Saccharomyces cerevisiae S288C: one gene and its partners. The protein of the gene in region 1 binds, or shares a complex with, the protein of each later gene. Links are inferred from orthologs where the notes say so. Each region holds a gene or a part of one and is shown on either strand. Other genes may lie near its edges. A codon is read from its position in the direction of its gene.

Region 1 (4,254 bases):
TTCGCTACCAAACACACTTCGATTGGATCTTTATTCGCAGACACACATGATTACCTTAGTTTCAACTCACCAAAGAAATGTTCCCTACTAGGAGTGAGTGATAATGAGGATGGAGCCCGAGAGGATAAATCTGGCAGAAATGAGAGAATGGAAGATTGTCTAAAAAATATAAAAGAGACTAGATTGAGCTTGAAAGATGAAAAAGAAAAAGTGAAGGATGCTTTTACTCTTAAATGTGGACATGCAAATAAATTTATGAGATTGGTGTGGTGGGTATTGGAACTGCTCCCCATTGGAATACGAATGGAAAATAAAGAAGGAAAGTGGCAAAATTTTCATACACCTAACCTCGGAAGATCTCGTTATGTACCCGAATATGTCAGTTTACATTGGTCAGTCTATTGGAGAATTAAGTTTGATCGTAGGTATAGACCGGACAATATGCCGGAATATGTAAGGCAATTGTTCCAAGATTTGGAAGGTATTGATTTAAAAAGTAATAAAGTTTCAAATAAATATGATAAGCAAGATAATAGCAACGGGAGTGAAATCAATGGGGGCTTTTTTGATAATGAGGAAGGGCAGGAACTCCACATGGGTCAAAAAGCAAGTTATTTTGCAACGACATACAATTCAAGATTATTTGACAGTAAATACTCCCAATTAAAAAAGAAATTCATGGACTGGGATAGTAATTCCTGGACAGATATTCCAGATGATTTAAAAATATACCTACAGCAAGATGAATCGCTTTAGCATTAAAAAAACCCCTTCGGTACGTAATATAAAAAATTTTATAGGTAATATACATATATAAAAATACTTCAATCATTTTTACAATCTTGTATACTTTATACAACATGTGAAATCTTCTGCTTCTGGACATCAATATTCAAATACAGGCCAATCTTAGGTAAAACATTTGGAGAAAAGAAGGATAAGGCAGGACGAGGGAAGATAAATAGTTTCGTTAATTATAAATACATGCAGATAAATAAAGGAATATCAAATATTATGAATAGAAAAAGAAGATGGTGAGACAAAAAAGTAGTAATAAATAGGTCCAAATCTTCTTTATTTCCCCTTTCTTTTCTTATCCTTTTGTTTTCTCCATATTGTATAAGAATATATTCTTAGGAAAATCAACAGGGAATACAGTATAGTGATTTTCGTTCCTTTTTGAGCGTAATCCCTTCGAGACTGTGATGTTGATTATTTTTGTTGTGATTTCAAAATTCTTAGGTTAGTTGTATAGTTCCCGTTCATAACATAATGGATAGTAAATGAAAAATCAAAATAAGGGTGAAACAAATAGACAATAAAGATGTAGTTTTCGAGGACGAAAAACAAACCTAACCAACAATGACCTTATCACCATCGAATTCATAAGCAGGAATTTCTAAGTTTAAGGGGGCAGGTCCCTTTCTGATTCTACCGGAAATATCATAATGTGAACCATGGCAAGGACAGAACCAACCACCAAAATCACCGGCTTCACCAATTGGAACACAACCTAAGTGAGTACAAATACCCAGCATAATTAACCATTGAGGGTCTTTGACTCTGTCAGCATCGGTCTGTGGGTCCTTCAAAGCGGACATATCCACACTGTTGGCTTCCTGAATTTCATGAGGAGTTCTGTGTCTAATGAACACAGGCTTACCTTGCCATTTGACAACCACGTTTTTACCCAATGGGATAGCCGCTAAATTAACTTCAACTTTAGCCATAGCCAAAACATCGGCAGTAGCGGTCATAGATGAAATAAAGGTTTCTACGGTTGATTTGGCACCTGCAGATGACAAAAGACCCATAGCACCGACCATAAAGTAAGCATAAGAACGGCCTTTATCAGCATCGTTATTTTCCTTTAAAACGTCATCAAAATTTGGGGTCCTGTACGTGGATTTGCTAGCCAGCAAAGATTGAGAAATCAGTCTTTTGGAAGTTAAAGACATTGGCTTGAAGCAGGTCTTGACAGATGATCTTATTCCTAACATGTTTGTTATTGCTCCTTTCGGTTTCCTAATAAGTGTTAGAGTGATATTATTTATGTTCAATAATTTCTTGGTTTTTAAAAGACGTTGAACTTGAAAGCAACAAAAAGTTACGACAGAGAAGTAATATATTACTTGATATTCAAGAACCAACTATAGTTCTTGCAGGTCTTTTTCCAGTCCTTATAAGGGAGCCTCCGCGTCGCCGCACGTGACCCAAGACCGATAAATGGCGCAAAACGCTGATTGGTCCGTTATGGAGTGTCTAAAAGGAAAAAGATGCGCTATGGACGAACCTGAAAGAGGCCAAATGATAGGGAAGCTTAGAGTGAAAGGTGGAACAGGAGAAGTTGAAAGGATGAAATACACAAGATGACAAGAAGGCTCGAATTAAAGGCGGCTAGTTATTTCAATTTAGGAAGCATTTGCTCTAAGAGTCGATGGGTCGTACTTCATGCACATTATATTACGCATGAATAGCCGCCCAAGCTATATGAACTTATTGGTGGATTTTTGAAACCAATAAAAAGGATTTATGAGAAAGAATAATCTTCCTCTGGGGTATTCATAGCTATCAACGTATGGTTACCTTGTCTTAGTCGGACACTGGACATAACTCTTACAATGGCTGTTAGCTTCTCAATTGACAATGGTATTTAATATACCAGGCGGTTAAAGAAAGGGTAGGTATTTTTTTCTACCTAGTTCAGTTTATATGGATGAGACAGGGATAGACGGGCATGTACGGAGTTTTTCGACTTGATCAGTGCAATCCACTGATTATCGTTTTATGTAGGTATTTTCTTGAGTTACAAAATTTTAGGGAAAGTATGGATACAACCAGAGAGCCGATGTGGTGTTTTTTTTGGTTTTTAGTACATGCAGTACGCTTCTTTTTCTATTTCCTGTATACTTCCTTTAAGCGTATTCGTCGTTATAGGTTCTATTTGCTTTCAACTGAACGCGCTTGCCTGAACGCCTAAAGCGGAAAGAAATACATGACTGAAAAACAGACATTCTGGTCGCAACTCAGCGAAAGGGAGGGTAGAAAAATATATTGTGTTATAATGTCAGCGTTAGCGCATTGCATATTGCACTAGCCATTGCCACGTAAAATGGCAAGACAAGATGAAACGGACTGCAAAAAATTGGATAGCAATTCGGCCTTTTTACCTTTATGCATAACATCTTATAGATCAAAAGATGAGGCTGAGAAGCTGGTAAGTTGTCTTCATCACGAAGGAAGTTACTTTTTATGTTTTAGCTATGGATTGTATACCGGAACGTCCAACGAATTGAAAGCGAAGGTTGAGTTCGCTTTAGATGGACCGTTCGTTGTTAACTACGCAACTGTACCGATGTTCATGTCAGCTTCCTTCTGTCACCTGCTAATGTTTAACGACGGTTCCATTAAGGGATTCAAATGCGAAAATAACAAATTTGAAATTATCTACGACTCTAATGTGGCTCCGAAACTGGATACTATTTCTTTATTAACTTCCAGCTGGTTAAATGCTTCCTTTGAGGGTGTTTTATACACTTGCAATAAAAACATATCATATGATAGTGATTTGCATACGTTATGTACGACAATTTACTCCTTTGACTTCAGAGAAGGAATAGTCGAAAGATTTTATGCCACCGATGGCGAAGAAATTATCTCCTTTGATTTTATTAGCAGGGAGGATTTGCTTGACGACGCCACATGCACAGGTAAATCACACGTTTATTTTCTTTGCCTACTTAAGAGTTGCTATAGTGAAAACCTGTTTTTAAAGGAATACAATCTTGCTGGAAAGCATGGAAGTAGGAAATTTGATTTAAACGAGTACCGCCAATACAATCTTTTGCCGATATGTGATAATGAATTTTGTTATATGAAGGTAGTTTGCGGCCATACCATTGTAGTGTTGACTACTAACTACACTCAAATAATAAATATAAAAGCAAGTGGGCTTACAAACGGGGCTTTTTTCAATAATAAAGGTCTCCCAAATGTAGAAAACTACCAATTTCTAAAAGATTCTTATGATGTGATATATGAAAGATCAGTCATTCTCTTGACAATTTCTGACGTGTATGCTAACAAATACACTGCCAAGATACACACTAGGTCGTTACATAGAGACCACGTCCTGAAAGAACTACAATGGACAAAAGAAAGAGTGTTCAAGCCTCCTAAACATGATCTATGCGATGTTATTTTGCAGCTCCCACGTGAAAAGTATATAGCGGTGACAAGAATAAATGGAGTAAA
Region 2 (4,456 bases), on another chromosome or scaffold:
GGTGGTTCCATCTCTGAAAAGGTTGACTGGGCTCGTGAACATTTCGAAAAGACTGTTGCTGTCGACAGCGTTTTTGAACAAAACGAAATGATTGACGCTATTGCTGTCACCAAGGGTCACGGTTTCGAAGGTGTTACCCACAGATGGGGTACTAAGAAATTGCCAAGAAAGACTCACAGAGGTCTAAGAAAGGTTGCTTGTATTGGTGCTTGGCATCCAGCCCACGTTATGTGGAGTGTTGCCAGAGCTGGTCAAAGAGGTTACCATTCCAGAACCTCCATTAACCACAAGATTTACAGAGTCGGTAAGGGTGATGATGAAGCTAACGGTGCTACCAGCTTCGACAGAACCAAGAAGACTATTACCCCAATGGGTGGTTTCGTCCACTACGGTGAAATTAAGAACGACTTCATCATGGTTAAAGGTTGTATCCCAGGTAACAGAAAGAGAATTGTTACTTTGAGAAAGTCTTTGTACACCAACACTTCTAGAAAGGCTTTGGAAGAAGTCAGCTTGAAGTGGATTGACACTGCTTCTAAGTTCGGTAAGGGTAGATTCCAAACCCCAGCTGAAAAGCATGCTTTCATGGGTACTTTGAAGAAGGACTTGTAAGAAGTTTTGTTAGAAAATAAATCATTTTTTAATTGAGCATTCTTATTCCTATTTTATTTAAATAGTTTTATGTATTGTTAGCTACATACAACAGTTTAAATCAAATTTTCTTTTTCCCAAGTCCAAAATGGAGGTTTATTTTGATGACCCGCATGCGATTATGTTTTGAAAGTATAAGACTACATACATGTACATATATTTAAACATGTAAACCCGTCCATTATATTGCTTACTTTCTTCTTTTTTGCCGTTTTGACTTGGACCTCTGGTTTGCTATTTCCTTACAATCTTTGCTACAATACCATTTGCCCTTGGGAGCTTGTTTCAGGCCTACGCAACCATAATGGAACCACTCGAAGGGACAAGCCGGATTATCACAAGCCACCATTGGCCCATAAGATACATTCCTACAGAAACAATAAACCTCCTCTTGATTATTATTACCCTCTGTTACATCACCCTGGTTAATCCCAATTGTGGGGCTAGTTATGCTCTCTTTTCTTTCCCTCGATTTAGCCTTTTTCAAGTTAATCTTTAAAAGCAGTTTTGGCTCCTTATATGCTCCTGGTTCTTCTAACGTCAACTTCGACTTGATATTCTCTAGCGAAGAGTTGAAATTTTTTGTCACTGACTTCTGTATCTCTAGTTCCTTCTTATGCTGCTTTAAGAAATGAATCTGATCATCGACCAGATCATTAATATAAGTCGCTACCAGCAACAGATCCCTACAGGCCCTTTCCATACCAGGCTCATCCTCTTCATTCTTGAATAAGTCGATTGTTTGCATCAGTCGAAGAGATCTTATTAGTTCACATGGTAAATGATCCAAAGTGCTAAGGAAACTGTACCTGATATCCGAATCCGAGTTTTCGTTGGCGAGATGTTCCATTGCTGTAGACGAAAAAAACTTCCTTGTAAAGCGGATGTGCTAGCGCATCATACATTTCAGTTCTATTAAGACTTTCACAGATGCTGTTGTGATGTTCTGTGAGCCAATCCCAAATGTTTGTATAAGGACGGAAATAAGACGGAGCGCCACGTGACTGAAGATTTTTTTTTTCTCGGATTTCTTGGTAATGGGCGGCCGGTATTTCCGGCGGCCAAAAAATGCGAGGATTTGGTTGGTGGAGAGGGTCGAGCGCCTTTACCCTGCGTAGATACTAAGGGGGCTCTTTCTAGTATATAAACAATTTGAATAATAACGAGGTTAGACGTCCAACTGGATCCATAGACTATCTAAGCTTTTAGTAGAGGCCATTCGTTTTCTTATTAATCATCGGTTTCACAATCTTTCTTTGTTAAGCAACATTTTATACATTTTTGTACTTTATCTTCAAATATTAAGGACAAGAAAGAAAAAGAAAAAGAATCCATATTCTATATTAGTGTAACACTATTTTTCTTAAATATTTTTTCCAGTACTCCCCCAGTTTGATAAAAAGCATTCATTGAATTTCCCCACATTTGTGATATCTTCAATTGATTAGTTTGAACTAGTTCTGAAAAATAATATTTTACAATTTGCATTTTCATTACACTATATCATCTACTATTTTTTCTCAGAAGCGGAAGTTATAACTAATTTGACAATGTTTTCAAATCTATCTAAACGTTGGGCTCAAAGGACCCTCTCGAAAAGTTTCTACTCTACCGCAACAGGTGCTGCTAGTAAATCTGGCAAGCTTACTCAAAAGCTCGTTACAGCGGGTGTTGCTGCCGCCGGTATCACCGCATCGACTTTACTCTATGCAGACTCCTTAACTGCCGAAGCTATGACCGCAGCTGAACACGGATTGCACGCCCCAGCATATGCTTGGTCCCACAATGGGCCTTTTGAAACATTTGATCATGCATCCATTAGAAGAGGTTACCAGGTTTACCGTGAAGTTTGTGCCGCCTGCCATTCTCTTGACAGAGTTGCTTGGAGAACTTTGGTTGGTGTTTCTCATACCAACGAAGAGGTTCGTAATATGGCCGAAGAATTTGAATACGATGACGAACCTGATGAACAAGGTAACCCTAAAAAGAGACCAGGTAAGTTGTCCGATTACATCCCTGGCCCATACCCAAACGAACAGGCTGCAAGAGCTGCCAATCAAGGTGCCTTGCCACCTGATCTATCTTTGATCGTGAAAGCTAGACACGGTGGTTGTGACTACATTTTCTCTTTGTTGACCGGTTATCCTGATGAACCTCCTGCTGGTGTGGCTTTACCACCAGGTTCTAATTATAACCCTTACTTCCCAGGTGGTTCCATTGCAATGGCAAGAGTCTTGTTTGATGACATGGTTGAGTACGAAGATGGTACCCCCGCAACGACATCTCAAATGGCAAAGGACGTTACCACCTTTTTAAACTGGTGTGCCGAACCTGAACATGACGAAAGAAAGAGATTGGGTTTGAAAACGGTGATAATCTTATCATCTTTGTATTTGCTATCTATCTGGGTGAAGAAGTTCAAATGGGCCGGTATCAAAACCAGAAAATTCGTTTTCAATCCACCAAAACCAAGAAAGTAGTTGACAAAAAAATGAAAACCACTATTATTTAAATTACGGAAAAAAAAAAACCAATAAACAAAAAACATAATAAAAGAAATGAAAAAAAAGAATATTAGTAGAGCATACTGAATTGTTTTCAGAAAGAGAGTGAAAGGTAACAAAAATTTACCTACTTTTCCTTTTTATTTCTCTGGTTTCGTTTCTTTTTTTTCGGCCACCCTATTTATTTTTTCACTGCTTGTAAACAACGTCTCACTTCAATAGTGTCTCCTTCATGTACTGAGATACTGCTGCAAGCGAAATATCACGAATAATAATATAAAAAAAAAAAAAAAAAAAAAAAAAGATGTTTAAATGTTAACAACCTAACAGCAATAAAAAATAAAAATAAAGGTAGAAGATTGCAAGAAAGAAACTTTACAATATTTTGTTTGGATGCCCAACACCGGCGTCTTGGTGTTCTTCTATAATATTTATTTTATTTATTTTTTATTTATATATGTACATATATATTCCTATTATCTATTAAGAAAGTAAACTTAGTGTAAATCTACCACTGTTCCAAGGCTTTGGCCATCCACCTTCTCTTTCGTTCCATTAATAATATGACACAATCGTTGAGGATGCGAGCGAGACCGTTATGGTCGATCTTTGAAGTCGCCGCGTAACGCGCTAGTATTTTTTCCTTAAAGAGGCAAACACTTATTTTTCCCTAATAGGAAATCCCTCAAATCGGTTTTTTTCCATATTAGTCCCGTTCTATTGTCTGGTTTCATACCTCTAAAATTTCTCTCGCTGTTCCATCAATTAATACAATCAAGGCACAGCCAGCAAATACTAATAATTCTCTTAATAACTGCTTCCCCTTTGCAGCACCGATAAGGGATCTTTAAGACGGTCTTGAAAATTTTTCGTTAGTTCATTTTTCATTCTCGGAAGTTTTTTTAAATTTTGAGAAGAAGAGCTGGTTGCACATTCCAAGGTGATTAAAGGGATTTGATTAAGTATATATTCACCAACCTGGGTTGTGTAGTTGAAAAGGGGAATAAAAATATCTCAAGAATACTTCGTGAAAAATATTCACTATGGATAAAAGCATGATCAAAAAAAGAGGCAGGCCTCCCATCACCAAAGATTATCCCAATCCCCTACAAAGCCCCATGGCGCATTCTTCAATGCAGGTTCAGAAGCAGGGGCCTCACAGTTTTGCCAAACCTTTGATGAAAGTGGGGCAATCTAGTCCATCCCCGAATAAAAGAAGACTCAGCATCGATCATCATCATAATTTGGCGGCAACTACGAGAAAGGGCAGATACAGGGGCGTTCTTCTTTCTACTCCCACC
Region 3 (9,026 bases), on another chromosome or scaffold:
AGGAGTGAGGGACCCCTCCCTATACTAATGGGAGGGGGACCGAACCCCGAAGGAGTATAAATAAAAATTAATAATATATATATAATTATAATAGTTCCGGGGCCCGGCCACGGGAGCCGGAACCCCGAAAGGAGAAATAATAATATAATATATAATAAAATATAACTTATTAATATAATATTAAAAATATAATTAACAAGAATAAATAGTCCGTGGGATCGAACCCCCTTTTTTATTTAATATTTAATATTTAAAGAAGGAATTGTTTATATATATTAATATCTTATTTGGGGATTAATATAATATATAAGTTTTGGATACCAGGCCAAAGACCGGAATCCCAAAAGGAGATTATATAAATATTATTTATCTCCCTTTTTTAATATTATAATAATTTTATTAAAAATAAAATAATAATAATAATTATAATTTATAATAACAATTATAATAATTTAATTAATTAATTAATTAATTAATTAATTAATTAATTAATTAATAATAAATATAAATATAAAAAGAATATAATTTATAATAAATAAATTTATATATATATATATATATTAAATAAAATATTTACTTCATTAATATAAAATATAAATATATTTAATTAATAAGTATATATATATAATAATATATAATAACCTATTTATATATATAATCTTAATATAATTATAAGAAATATTATATAAGTAATATATAAAAATAATATAAAATAATTATAATTCAATTTATATATTAATAGTTCCGGGGCCCGGCCACGGGAGCCGGAACCCCGAAAGGAGGAATAAGATAAATATATAAATTATATTAATAAATATAAATTTTAAATGAATTAATAAAATTAATATATATATGTATATATATATATATATTAAAAATATTTAATTATTTTTAGGAAGGAGTGATAGATCCCTTTGGGGGACCGAACCCCTATTTAAGAAGGAGTGCGGGACCCCGTGGGAACCGAACCCCTTTTTTATTTAAAGAAGAAGTTTTATTTTATTTTATTTTATTTTATTTTATTTTATTTTATTTTATTTTATTTTATTTTATTTAATTTAATTTTAATTAGGTTAATAAATAGTAATAATAAACTTAATAATAATAATAATAATTTTATTTTTATAATTTATTAATAATAATAATAATTATATATATATATATTATTAATAAATATAGACCTTATCGTCTAATGGTTACGACATCACCTCTTCATGTTGATAATATCGGTTCGATTCCGATTAAGGTTATTCATAATAATAAATATTTGTAAAAAAAGTATATATAATTAAACATATTCTTTATATTAATTAATAATTATTAATAATATACATTTTATATAATACAATTATATATATATATATATTTTTTTTTAATACAAATAATATATTCATAATAATAAATACCGATTGTTATTATACTATAATAAAATATATAATATATTTTTCATTATAATATTTTTAAATAAATATTATAATAAATTATATAAATAATATTTATGTATAATAATAATAATAATAATTGTTATTAATTAATTCTATAATTATTATATATTTAATTTTTTTTTTTAATATAATATATAATAATATAATTTATTTTATTTTTTTTTATAGTTCCGGGGCCCGGTCACGGGAGCCGGAACCCCGAAAGGAGAATATAAATTAATAATAATATAAATAACATATTAACAATAAATTATTGTTAATATAATAATAATAATAACAATATTAATAAATAATATAAAAATTATTAATATTATATTTATATAATATTAATATAAAAATCTTTCATAATATTAATTATTATTAAATAATAATGATATCATTAATATTAATATAATCGTCAATATTATTTATTTATTTATTTATTTATTTATTTATTTATTTATTTATTATTAAATAAATATTTTTAAATATTATATTATATTATTAACTTTTTATTAAAAAAATTAATAATGATATAATATAATTAATATTATCCACGGGACCAATGACCAACCCAGTAGTTGACCGGATTGGCGCCCGCGAGGTTTATATTTAATAAATAATAATAATAATATTAATAAAATCTATTAACTTTTTTTTTTAATGGATTATATTAATGAAAAAAAAATGAGAAATATCTTTTTTTTTTAATAATTATAATTTATATATAATAAAATATGTATATATAATAAAAAAATAGTTTTTAATATTATAATATAATTATATATATAATTATAAATATATATATATATAATAAGTATTAATTAATAATATATATTTATATATTTTTTATTAATTAATATATATAAAATATTAGTAATAAATAATATTATTAATATTTTATAAATAAATAATAATAATATGGCATTTAGAAAATCAAATGTGTATTTAAGTTTAGTGAATAGTTATATTATTGATTCACCACAACCATCATCAATTAATTATTGATGAAATATGGGTTCATTATTAGGTTTATGTTTAGTTATTCAAATTGTAACAGGTATTTTTATGGCTATGCATTATTCATCTAATATTGAATTAGCTTTTTCATCTGTTGAACATATTATAAGAGATGTGCATAATGGTTATATTTTAAGATATTTACATGCAAATGGTGCATCATTCTTTTTTATGGTAATGTTTATGCATATGGCTAAAGGTTTATATTATGGTTCATATAGATCACCAAGAGTACTATTATGAAATGTAGGTGTTATTATTTTCATTTTAACTATTGCTACAGCTTTTTTAGGTTATTGTTGTGTTTATGGACAGAGTGAGACAAGTATAAGTATATTATTATAATATCATACCATTAAATAAATTATTTTAATGAAATGATTATGTTTATATATAACATATACCTAATTAGACATGCATTATTAGTAATAATTTTGTATGAAACTCTAATAATAATAATTATTATTAATTATTAAGGTAAGATTCATATGGATAGCGTAAGTCAATCTAATATTATAAAATATCGTAACATAAACAATATTTTTTTCTATTATTAATTAATAAATAATAATAAATAAAAATAATTATATGAGAAGTAAGATATTCAATTCTGTCTAGAATACATATATATACGTTAATACTCATCGGTATAAAATTAGAATCCTAAGTGAATTATTGAAAGTATAATAATATAAACTTGGTAAGCCCAATTATTTCCATATAATATTAATATAAATATTATATGGTAGTTATATATAATATTATTAAATAAATAATAATAGAAATTATAATATAGATAAGTGGGTAAAAGACTATTGAAAAAGCTAAAGATTATATGTAATGTATAATATAGATCAAATTATTTATATATTTTAATAAAAATATATTAATAATGGTTAATATTATTATTAATTAATTAATTAATTAATTAATAATAATAACGAATAAATGATTAATGTGAAAGCATGCTAACTTCAATATAGGATGATTTATATAGTATATAAATTGTTTGAGCTGTATACTATGAAAGTAGTACGTACAGTTCTGAGTGGGGGAAAATTTGTAAAGATCTACCTATCACAATTGTCACATTGAGGTAATATAAATATCGCCTCAAATATATTTAATATAATAAAACTAATTTATATAATAATGTTAATATTATTAATTTATATTTTTTATACGATTATAATAAGACAAATAATAAAAACTAAAGAATATCTTATATTAATTAAGAGTATAGATTATATTAATAAAAATAAATATATAATTAATTTAAATATAACAAATAAGAAAGATATAAATAATAATATTGGTCCATTAAATATAAACATTTTATCAATTATTTATGGTTCAATATTAGGAGATGGTCATGCTGAAAAAAGAAAAGGTGGTAAAGGAACAAGAATTGTATTTCAACAAGAATATTGTAATATTAATTATTTATATTATTTACATAGTTTATTAGCTAATTTAGGTTATTGTAATACTAATTTACCTTTAATTAAAACTAGATTAGGTAAAAAAGGTAAAATTAGACAATATTTAAAATTTAATACATGAACTTATGATTCATTTAATATGATTTATTCAGAATGGTATATTAAAAATATATCTGGAAAAGGTAATATTAAAGTTATTCCTAAATCTTTAGACAATTATTTAACTCCTTTAGCTTTAGCTATTTGAATTATAGATGATGGATGTAAATTAGGTAAAGGTTTAAAATTCACAACTAATTGTTTTAGTTATAAAGATGTTCAATATTTACTTTATTTATTACATAATAAATATAATATTAAATCTACTATTCTTAAAGGCAATAAAGAAAATACACAATTTGTTATTTATGTATGAAAAGAATCTATACCTATTTTAACTAAAATTGTATCTCCTTATATTATTCCTAGTATAAAATATAAATTAGGTAATTATTTATAATAAAATATATAGTATTATATTAATTATTATATTATTATAATGCGATATTATTGAAAACATGTCAAAATTATATTATTAAGTAACAAGACAGTGGGTTATATAATTATATGATCCCAACAGAATACACCAATAATAGGTATTATTATAAAAAAAATAATAATATTTAATGTTTATTCGAAGAAAATTTATAATATTATTATTATAACACAAGGTTTAATAATCTATATATATATATTATATATATAACTACTGTTATTATTCCATTTACCTAATTAATATATAAATAATGAATTATAATTATTATGATTAATATTTTTATAATAATAACCCCATCATAACATTTATATATAACATTTATATATAACATTTATATATAATATTTATATTATGGTATTATTAGGTATAAATATTTATTCATAAGAGAAAATAGTGATTAAATGGAATTATAAAAAGGGTAGATATTATTAAATACAGGGTATTATTTATATTAATAAATCAATAAATATTGAGATTATTATTATTAAAAAATAATAATAATTTATAAATAATATTATTTTCTTGGCACTAGTTATTACTAATTTATTCTCAGCAATTCCATTTGTAGGTAACGATATTGTATCTTGATTATGAGGTGGGTTTAATATAGAGGATCCATATTATAGTAATATAATATTAAATAAATCTGTTTTATGCTGAAATATCTTCATTTGAATAATAAATTACTATATTATTCAATTAATTATTTATAATAATATAATTTGAAATAAAAATAATATAGTTAAAATATTTATTATAAGAAGAAAATTAGCAGTAATTAATATATATATATATATAAAATTAATTATTCAGAGACTTTATAGTTATTATATAAATAATACTATTATTTATGATAAAAATCATAAATTAAACACAGATAATCCTATTTATGCATATATTGGTGGTTTATTTGAAGGAGATGGTTGAATTACTATTTCAAAAAAAGGTAAATATTTATTATATGAATTAGGTATTGAAATACATATTAGAGATATTCAATTATTATATAAAATTAAAAATATTTTAGGTATTGGTAAAGTAACAATTAAAAAATTAAAAATAAAAGATGGTACTATTAAAGAAATATGTAAATTTAATGTAAGAAATAAAAATCATTTAAAGAATATTATTATTCCTATTTTTGATAAATATCCTATATTAACTAATAAACATTATGATTATTTATATTTTAAAGATAATTTATTAAAAGATATTAAATATTATAATGATTTATCTTATTATTTACGTCCTATTAAACCATTTAATACTCTTGAAGATATTTTAAATAAAAATTATTTTTCTTCATGATTAATTGGTTTTTTTGAAGCTGAAAGTTGTTTTAGTATTTATAAACCTATAAATAAAAAAATAAAACTTGCTAGTTTTGAAGTATCTCAAAATAATAGTATAGAAGTTATATTAGCTATTAAATCATATTTAAAAATTACTCAAAATATTTATACAGATAAATTTAATAATTCAAGAATAACACTTAAAAGTATTAATGGTATTAAAAATGTTGTAATATTTATTAATAATAACCCTATTAAATTATTAGGTTATAAAAAATTACAATATTTATTATTCTTAAAAGATTTACGTCTTATTCTTAAATATAATAATTATTTTAAAATTCCTCCTAAATATTAATCTTATATAAAAATATAATAATAATATATTTATATATTATATAATTATATAAACAAAATATAATTTATATATAATTATTTATTATAAATATAGTCCGGCCCGCCCCGCGGGGCGGACCCCGGAGGAGTGAGGGACCCCTCCCTATTCTAACGGGAGGGGGACCGAACCCCGAAGGAGTTTAATTATATATTAAATATATTATTATCAATAAATAATTCCTTTGAACTATTTATTATTTTATTATATTTATTTTCTCCTTCATTATTAATTTTTATTAATAATTAAAATCTTATCATTTTATGGTATTTTTATTTCTATTTTAGGATATCGAAACTATAAATTAAAAAGTATAATTTTATTAATTATAATTTATGATTAATAAATAAGAAATAAAAACTTTAGAAGTAATATTTATCTTTTTTTTTTATAAATAAATATTATGATTAATATATAATCATTTATAAATATTTATATATAATTATATATATACATAAATAGGATTAAGATATAGTCCGAACAATATAGTGATATATTGATAATAGTTTTCAAATATGTAACTATTTAAACATTAAAAGCTCAGTATCTAACCCTCTAATCCAGAGATTCTTTGCGTTACATTATTTAGTACCTTTTATCATTGCTGCAATGGTTATTATGCATTTAATGGCATTACATATTCATGGTTCATCTAATCCATTAGGTATTACAGGTAATTTAGATAGAATTCCAATGCATTCATACTTTATTTTTAAAGATTTAGTAACTGTTTTCTTATTTATGTTAATTTTAGCATTATTTGTATTCTATTCACCTAATACTTTAGGTCAAAATATGGCCTTATTATTAATTACATATGTAATTAATATTTTATGTGCTGTATGCTGGAAATCTTTATTTATTAAATATCAATGAAAAATTTATAATAAAACTCTATATTATTTTATTATTCAAAATATTTTAAATACAAAACAATTAAATAATTTCGTATTAAAATTTAATTGAACAAAGCAATATAATAAAATAAATATTGTAAGTGATTTATTTAATCCCAATAGAGTAAAATATTATTATAAAGAAGATAATCAGCAGGTAACCAATATAAATTCTTCTAATACTCACTTAACGAGTAATAAAAAGAATTTATTAGTAGATACTTCAGAGACTACACGCACACTAAAAAATAAATTTAATTATTTATTAAATATTTTTAATATAAAAAAAATAAATCAAATTATTCTTAAAAGACATTATAGTATTTATAAAGATAGTAATATTAGATTTAACCAATGATTGGCCGGTTTAATTGACGGAGATGGTTATTTTTGTATTACTAAAAATAAATATGCATCTTGTGAAATTCTTGTAGAATTAAAAGATGAAAAAATGTTAAGACAAATCCAAGATAAATTTGGTGGTTCTGTAAAATTAAGATCAGGTGTTAAGGCTATTAGATATAGATTACAAAATAAAGAAGGTATAATTAAATTAATTAATGCCGTTAATGGTAATATTCGTAATAGTAAAAGATTAGTACAATTTAATAAAGTATGTATTTTATTAAATATCGATTTTAAAGAACCTATTAAATTAACTAAAGATAATGCTTGATTTATAGGGTTCTTTGATGCTGATGGTACTATTAATTATTATTATTCCGGTAAATTAAAAATTAGACCTCAATTAACTATTAGCGTTACAAATAAATATTTACATGATGTTGAATACTATAGAGAAGTATTTGGTGGTAATATTTATTTTGATAAAGCTAAAAATGGTTATTTTAAATGATCTATTAATAATAAAGAATTACATAATATTTTTTATCTTTATAATAAAAGTTGTCCTTCTAAATCTAATAAAGGTAAACGTTTATTTTTAATTGATAAATTTTATTATTTATATGATTTATTAGCTTTTAAAGCACCTCATAATACTGCTTTATATAAAGCTTGATTAAAATTTAATGAAAAATGAAATAATAATTAAATTTTCTCCGTATTCATTATTATATTATCTAATTTATAAAATATTTAAAGATTCCTTATAATAATATAACATCTTTGTAAATTATTGTTAAAGATAATATAAATTATTATGAATCGGTAGATTATATTTTTACAATCTTATTAAATAAAATTCTGATCATTAAACATGATTGAAGAAATAATAATAGTTTATGAAATAAGATAGTGTAATATAAATTTTTATGAAGATATAGTCCATTTTATATTTATTATAAAAGCATCCTGATAACTATATTCCTGGTAATCCTTTAGTAACACCAGCATCTATTGATATTAAAAATATTAATAAAATTATTATTATTTAATCTTATTTATTTTATATAAAAAAAATAAATAATAATTATTAATAAAAATATATTATTTATTTCTCCTTTCGGGGTTATTTATATATATTCCTTTATAATTTATATTTAATATATTATATTAAATATATGAAAAATTATAATAAATAAATTAATTAATTAATAATAAATAATAATAAAAAGTACAGTAGCATTAAATATTCTTAAGTTTCCGCTTTGTGGGAACTCCCATAAGGAGTTTAATGATTAAAATTGGTTAATTGTCAAGAAAATCTAAGGTATTAATAAATAAATAATACTATGACAACTTGCAGCGAAGTTTATATCATCTCTATATTATATATTAATATATATATATAATAATAATAATAATATTAATATAATATAAGATATAAAAACGTTCAACGACTAGAAAGTGAACTGAGATAGTAATACCTTTCCACGAAAACCAATTAATTTATAAATTATTTTTAAATAAAGAATAGATTATTAATTTTTTTTATATAGTTCCGGGCCCCGGCCACGGGAGCCGGAACCCCGGAAGGAGTAATATATATTATATATAAAATAAAAAATATATATATATATATTATAAAATATCAAAAGTTTTAATCTTTTATTATAAATTA
Region 4 (4,901 bases), on another chromosome or scaffold:
TGGATGGTATCAAAAACCTTTTTAACGATCTGTTATTTATATCACGCACGATCACCCATCTTACTTTAAAGGCTTTGCCATATTTTTGTTCATCTTCCCATATACTGGTGTCCAAATCCATTTTCAAATCCGATACCATTTCTGCAACGCCACAGAATCTTCCTGATGTGTTGATTGAAAAAAATAAAAACACTTTGGCTCCCGAATTAAGCTTTTTATATGCCTCAGATAGCCTTTTGTTGCCGAAATGAGTAGACGACCAAATTCCGTTGTAAAACGACCTTTTGACATGCTTCAAAGACGAGGACTTTATTACAAAAAATCTTGAGTTTTCTGGAATATTTAACCAAGGGGGAATAATTGCAGCACTTTTTCTTTTATTAATTTCATTGAAAGTTTGTTCTTTAGTTGACTGCTGCAAATACCTTGGTTTGGATAAATATTCCCTGTAATAATTATTATTGCTATTATCAGATTGGTTGTAGTCTCTAGAAAAGGAGAAATGCCGATTTAAATTTGAGCTTGTCAATGGAATACTATTAATCTGGTGTGTATAGTTTTCATGAGTGATCTCTTCTTTATTTTCTTTCTTGTTAATATCATTTAAAGCTGTGACATCGTTCTTTAGCTTTGGGTTTGTTTGTACTTCAATATGAGTTCTCTCCAAGGAATGGATCAACCCATCTAGTTCTCTTAAAGAGTCTTCAATTGTCCTGTCATTTCTCTTATTTTCTTTCCATTCAGAGTTGAAGTAAAAATTTGGGGGACCTGTAGACCAGATTTGATTCATTTTTAGAGCACAACGCAATACTTACGTCACACCAGCCGTAGACGATATCTTCCTTTCTTAACGAAATAGTAACAGAGGACACAATCTGAAAACTTCTTTTGCGATTCATAACCAACAGAAAATTTTGGAGGAAAACAATGTAGCTGTATAAATATATATATATATATATGTATGTATACTTATTTATTTATATATATATCACAAAAGGCTACCAAAAAGATTAGCCGCCGAGGTACATCGTGAGGAGTGATATTCTGGGGAAACGGGTAGCGATTTCGTGTCTATTTTCGGTCACCAAGTCAACGTTACTTACTGTCGTATAACCAAAGTACAACAATAGCAACAGTTCCTAACATTCTTCCATGGATACGGAAGCATTGGCCAATTATTTGCTACGGCAGCTTAGTTTAGATGCGGAGGAGAATAAGCTAGAAGATCTTCTCCAACGGCAAAATGAAGATCAAGAGTCTAGTCAAGAATATAACAAGAAATTATTATTGGCATGTGGATTTCAGGCCATTTTAAGAAAAATTCTGCTGGATGCTAGAACAAGGGCAACTGCAGAAGGTTTGAGGGAAGTATATCCTTATCATATTGAAGCTGCAACGCAGGCTTTTCTGGATAGTCAATGAAGGGGTATTTTTAAGCCTCTTTATCATATACTCTTTTGTTCGTAATAGCAAATAACTCGGTCTTATTAACGAGAAAAAGTTAAAGCATCTTCTGAATTTTTATTATATACAAGTTATGTAGTAAGGCGCCACTTAGCACCTAGAAAATATGATTAGCGTTCCGTAAGCTGGAGACCATTTTCAACGCATCGTGTGGTGCATCTTTATTCATAACGAAAAGTCCTTGCAACTGGGCGGTACTTACGGTGATATCCAATTCTTTAACACTATTTACAAACTTTTTGCATATATCAGTCTCACCTGGGTAAAATTTCATAAACATTTTTTCTACCTGGTATGGAGTTGCGTTACCAACGAAGACTTTGTAGTCAATACGACCTGGTCTCATTATAGCCGCGTCTAGCTTTTCAGGATGATTGGTAGTCATGAATGTAATAGTTTCTTCAGAAGATGTGACGCCATCCAGGGCATTCAGTAAACCGCTAAATGTTACGCTAGAATGAAAACCTTGTTCACCAGTTTGACTTCTTTTGTTGAACGCCGCGTCAATATCTTCCAGTAATAGTATGCTCCTTTCTGGCATGTTATTCATTAAGTGGTTTAATCTGTCATCTGTTAAATTATTTTCGGAGAGGTTTAAAATACAAATGTTGTAGTCTAATTCGCCCGCTAAAGCCTGGATAAAGCTAGTCTTACCAGATCCGGGAGGGCCATAGAGTAAATATCCCCTGCGATATGGGATACCCCTGTCAGAGTACCATTTGCCGTTCTTCATAAAATCATAAACGTCATCGAGAATACCCTCTTTGATGCCACTGTCCAAAATGACGGAGGGCAGCATCCTTTTAGCTTTTGGTTGACCAAACTTTCTCCATTCAGGGCCGAAAGAAGTGTAAATAACAGTCTTGCCCTCAGTAGTCTTCAGGGCTATGTCTTTAGCCTCGTTCAAAATGTCATCGAACAAATGTTTGTCACGGTACAGTGTAGTTAAGGTTACGGTCTCAAATGGTGACCCGTTTGCGATATCTATCATTTTTGCGGACCTTTCTCTTTTAATCAGGATAAAAGCACCCTTATAACGAATCCAATGATTTCCCGGACCCGGAACCAGCGAAAATTTTGTACTAACTGATCCATTGTCATGTTGTATGTAGTTTGTCCTAACGGATAAGTGTCTAGATACCCTTTGAGGATGTTTGGCCATCCATGTTAGAAACCAGGCGTATGATTTGTCCTTCGACTGAATCTCTAAGTCGACAATCATTTGTCGGTATAGGACCCTGCTGGCTTTTATTATACCGGATCTAGCTACAGCTAAACCTGTACCAAGGATCATAAGACCACCGCCGGCGGCAAAATAGGGATTGTTTGACATAGCATCGCCAACTAGTTTTGAAAGTTTTTCCCGGACTGAGTCATTACCAGTTTCATTTGTTGGCGGAGTAATTACACCACTCAGATTTGGAGTAGCCTGTTTATCATATTGTATGTCAATCGGCTTATCCGACATGGTAGATTGAGGGCACACTTCATTTTTTTTCAAATCGTCCCTTGGTACGTCTACTGCGTTGCAAATATAGAAGAGTGGAAATCTTTACTTATACTATTTACATCGATTTTTCGGCACTCTTTAAGGGTAACTCAATCGAGATATAATTCGAAGAGCAGTAAACTATAGCTCGAACGTAACAGAAAGTTTTTTGCTTGCTATAGTTCTTGGCCACAACGCCTCATTCATTCATTTAGAAAGTTTCTCACTCTTTCTTCTTCCTTTTTTAGCTCATTACTTGTGAAAATGAGCTTTGTTCAAATAAGGCACATTTCTTCACAAATAAACCGTAAGACTGTATCCATTGTTGGATCGGGGCCTTCCGGCTTTTATACAGCGTACCATTTACTCAAGAAGTCACCGATTCCATTAAATGTTACTATATGGGAAAAGTTACCTGTTCCTTTTGGTTTAAGTAGATATGGTGTGGCACCTGATCATCCAGAAGTCAAAAATTGTGAAGAAACGTTTACCACATGTGCAGAAGAGTTTTCTTCCCCTACAAACCAAAAGCATAAATTTTCCTTTGTTGGTGGTATAACCATTGGAAAAGAAATATTGTTGAAGGAATTGCTGGATAATCAAGATGCTGTTATTTTAAGTTATGGTTGTACAGGGGACAGAAAGCTGAATATCCCTGGCGAACTCGGAACAAAAGGGGTGTTTAGCAGTAGAGAATTTGTCAATTGGTACAATGGTCATCCTGATTTCGCAAAGGATAAGCGATTTACCGATTTTGACTGGAGCAAAGTTTCGAAAGTTGGTATTATAGGAAACGGTAACGTTGCTCTTGATATTACGCGTGTACTTATTTCTAATCAAATTGATGAAATATGGGAAAATACGGACATCTCATCTCTTGCACTAAATTTGCTAAGAAGGGCACCTGTAAAGGACGTTAAGCTAATTGCACGAAGGGATTTCGTTCATTCCAAATTCACCAACAAAGAATTAAGAGAACTATGGGAGTTAGAAAAGTATGGCATACGTGGCCGTATTGATCCTAAATTTTTCCAGAAAGAAATGTTTGACCCATCTAAGTACGATCGTGCATTCAATAGACGAGTAGAGATGTGTAGTGAGTATCTCAAGCCATTTAATGAACGTTCGAAGAAAAACTATAAAAAGGCTCCTCCTCCAAGCAGCGGATATGACAAATTCTGGGAGTTAGATTATTTGAAGACTCCCTTGAAAATTAATAGAGACGATTTTGGTGCAATCAACTCTTTGAGTTTATGTAACAATCGATTAAATGAAGATAACAGTTTGCAACCCTTGAAGGACGTCAATAATATTATGACATATAAAGTGGATTTGCTGATTACTTCATTGGGATATGCAGGCGTTCCCATGCCTGAATTCTCTAAGTTGTCTATTGGATTTGACAAAGATCATATAGCTAATAAACAGGGTCGTGTTTTAACTTCCAGCGGAGAAATATTCCCACATTTATATGCATCTGGTTGGATCCGTAAGGGCAGCCAGGGCGTTATTGCCTCGACAATGCAAGATGCTTTTGAAGTTGGAGACAGAGTAATACAAGACTTGGTGGTCAGCGGAGCGCTATCCTTAGAGAATTCTATCGACCTCTCTAATATCAAGCACACCACATGGAAGGATTGGGAAAGAATCAACAAGAAGGAATTGCTTCGGGGCAAAAAGGAACACAAAACTCGGTCAAAGTTTTTAACTTTTGAAGAGTTGTGGAACGGTGTAGAAGGCATATAAAATAGATCGTTAATATATTTCTAACATCTTCTTGTAAATGTAAATATTTTAAAAGGGTTGATCTTATTACGGAGAGAACCAATCATATCGAAGGATTTCTCAATAGTAAGTATCCCGCGCGTGGTCCTCGGGGAAATAGAACGAGAAACTTCAAGTACTTGATAGCAAGAAAGTGAGTGCTTGGCTTCCCCATTTTGATTAT

The links.
Region 2: the proteins of RIP1 (region 1) and CYT1 are in contact, whole or in part, in a cryo-EM structure (PDB 8ABB), measured with the Yarrowia lipolytica proteins. The link is inferred for Saccharomyces cerevisiae S288C from one-to-one orthologs. Residues at the interface, in XP_499709.1 of Yarrowia lipolytica: Gly39, Lys40, Ser41, Thr42, Lys44, Pro46, Asp47, Phe48, Tyr51, Phe64, Ser65, Met68, Ile69, Ser71, Phe72, Leu75, Ser76, Ala95, Asp96, Ala99, Met100, Glu104, Lys119; in XP_500165.3 of Yarrowia lipolytica: Arg163, Lys176, Asp186, Glu187, Pro188, Arg195, Lys200, Ala202, Val326, Ala329, Met330, Leu333, Ser334, Tyr336, Ile337, Phe340, Asn347, Lys349, Ile351, Tyr352, Asn353.
Region 3: the proteins of RIP1 (region 1) and COB are in contact, whole or in part, in a cryo-EM structure (PDB 8EC0), measured with the Saccharomyces cerevisiae proteins. Residues at the interface, in NP_010890.3 of Saccharomyces cerevisiae: Ile79 (codon at 1,766), Met82 (codon at 1,757), Thr83 (codon at 1,754), Ala84 (codon at 1,751), Thr85 (codon at 1,748), Val88 (codon at 1,739), Val108 (codon at 1,679), Val109 (codon at 1,676), Lys110 (codon at 1,673), Gln112 (codon at 1,667), Gly113 (codon at 1,664), Lys114 (codon at 1,661), Pro115 (codon at 1,658), Ile158 (codon at 1,529), Thr160 (codon at 1,523), His161 (codon at 1,520), Leu162 (codon at 1,517), Gly163 (codon at 1,514), Cys164 (codon at 1,511), Val165 (codon at 1,508), Ile167 (codon at 1,502), Phe177 (codon at 1,472), Pro179 (codon at 1,466), Cys180 (codon at 1,463), His181 (codon at 1,460), Gly182 (codon at 1,457), Ser183 (codon at 1,454), His184 (codon at 1,451), Gly194 (codon at 1,421), Pro195 (codon at 1,418); in NP_009315.1 of Saccharomyces cerevisiae: Trp142, Thr145, Val146 (codon at 4,953), Asn149 (codon at 4,962), Leu150 (codon at 4,965), Trp164, Trp166, Gly167 (codon at 5,016), Gly168 (codon at 5,019), Phe169 (codon at 5,022), Ser170 (codon at 6,648), Val171 (codon at 6,651), Ser172 (codon at 6,654), Pro174 (codon at 6,660), Arg178 (codon at 6,672), Pro262 (codon at 8,341), Leu263 (codon at 8,344), Thr265, Pro266, Ala267, Ile269, Tyr279, Leu282, Arg283, Ile285, Pro286, Asp287, Lys288, Cys342, His343.
Region 4: the proteins of RIP1 (region 1) and BCS1 are in contact, whole or in part, in a cryo-EM structure (PDB 9GS2), measured with the Saccharomyces cerevisiae proteins. Residues at the interface, in NP_010890.3 of Saccharomyces cerevisiae: Asp133 (codon at 1,604), Met134 (codon at 1,601), Ser135 (codon at 1,598), Asp139 (codon at 1,586), Pro140 (codon at 1,583), Gln141 (codon at 1,580), Thr142 (codon at 1,577), Ala144 (codon at 1,571), Asp145 (codon at 1,568), Arg146 (codon at 1,565), Val147 (codon at 1,562), Lys148 (codon at 1,559), Tyr205 (codon at 1,388); in NP_010663.1 of Saccharomyces cerevisiae: Phe209 (codon at 2,308), Gly210 (codon at 2,305), Arg214 (codon at 2,293), Asn297 (codon at 2,044), Thr299 (codon at 2,038), Arg302 (codon at 2,029), His337 (codon at 1,924).

What each region holds. Positions count from the first base shown.
Region 1 is NC_001137.3:105,006-109,259, reverse strand, and holds RIP1 (ubiquinol--cytochrome-c reductase catalytic subunit RIP1), read right to left. Parts: upstream 2,001-4,254; coding exon 1,353-2,000; downstream 1-1,352. Other genes in the region: YEL023C (uncharacterized protein), read left to right, coding at 1-756; YEL025C (uncharacterized protein), read left to right, coding at 3,113-4,254. UniProt on the Saccharomyces cerevisiae protein: Component of the ubiquinol-cytochrome c oxidoreductase, a multisubunit transmembrane complex that is part of the mitochondrial electron transport chain which drives oxidative phosphorylation.
Region 2 is NC_001147.6:445,238-449,693, forward strand, and holds CYT1 (ubiquinol--cytochrome-c reductase catalytic subunit CYT1), read left to right. Parts: upstream 1-2,201; coding exon 2,202-3,131; downstream 3,132-4,456. Other genes in the region: 60S ribosomal protein uL3 RPL3, read left to right, coding at 1-612; YNG1 (Yng1p), read right to left, coding at 842-1,501; MSA1 (Msa1p), read left to right, coding at 4,199-4,456. UniProt on the Saccharomyces cerevisiae protein: Component of the ubiquinol-cytochrome c oxidoreductase, a multisubunit transmembrane complex that is part of the mitochondrial electron transport chain which drives oxidative phosphorylation.
Region 3 is NC_001224.1:34,195-43,220, forward strand, and holds the start of COB (cytochrome b), read left to right. Parts: upstream 1-2,345; coding exon 2,346-2,760; intron 2,761-3,528; coding exon 3,529-3,542; coding exon of another isoform or gene 3,543-4,385; intron 4,386-4,946; coding exon 4,947-5,023; coding exon of another isoform or gene 5,024-6,071; intron 6,072-6,646; coding exon 6,647-6,896; coding exon of another isoform or gene 6,897-8,057; intron 8,058-8,313; coding exon 8,314-8,364; intron 8,365-9,026. Other genes in the region: intron-encoded RNA maturase bI4, read left to right, coding at 2,346-2,760, 3,529-3,542, 4,947-5,023, 6,647-8,057; cytochrome b mRNA maturase bI3, read left to right, coding at 2,346-2,760, 3,529-3,542, 4,947-6,071; cytochrome b mRNA maturase bI2, read left to right, coding at 2,346-2,760, 3,529-4,385. UniProt on the Saccharomyces cerevisiae protein: Component of the ubiquinol-cytochrome c oxidoreductase, a multisubunit transmembrane complex that is part of the mitochondrial electron transport chain which drives oxidative phosphorylation.
Region 4 is NC_001136.10:1,223,605-1,228,505, forward strand, and holds BCS1 (bifunctional AAA family ATPase chaperone/translocase BCS1), read right to left. Parts: upstream 2,933-4,901; coding exon 1,562-2,932; downstream 1-1,561. Other genes in the region: PHO92 (mRNA-binding phosphate metabolism regulator), read right to left, coding at 1-790; WIP1 (Wip1p), read left to right, coding at 1,153-1,422; ARH1 (NADPH-adrenodoxin reductase), read left to right, coding at 3,218-4,699.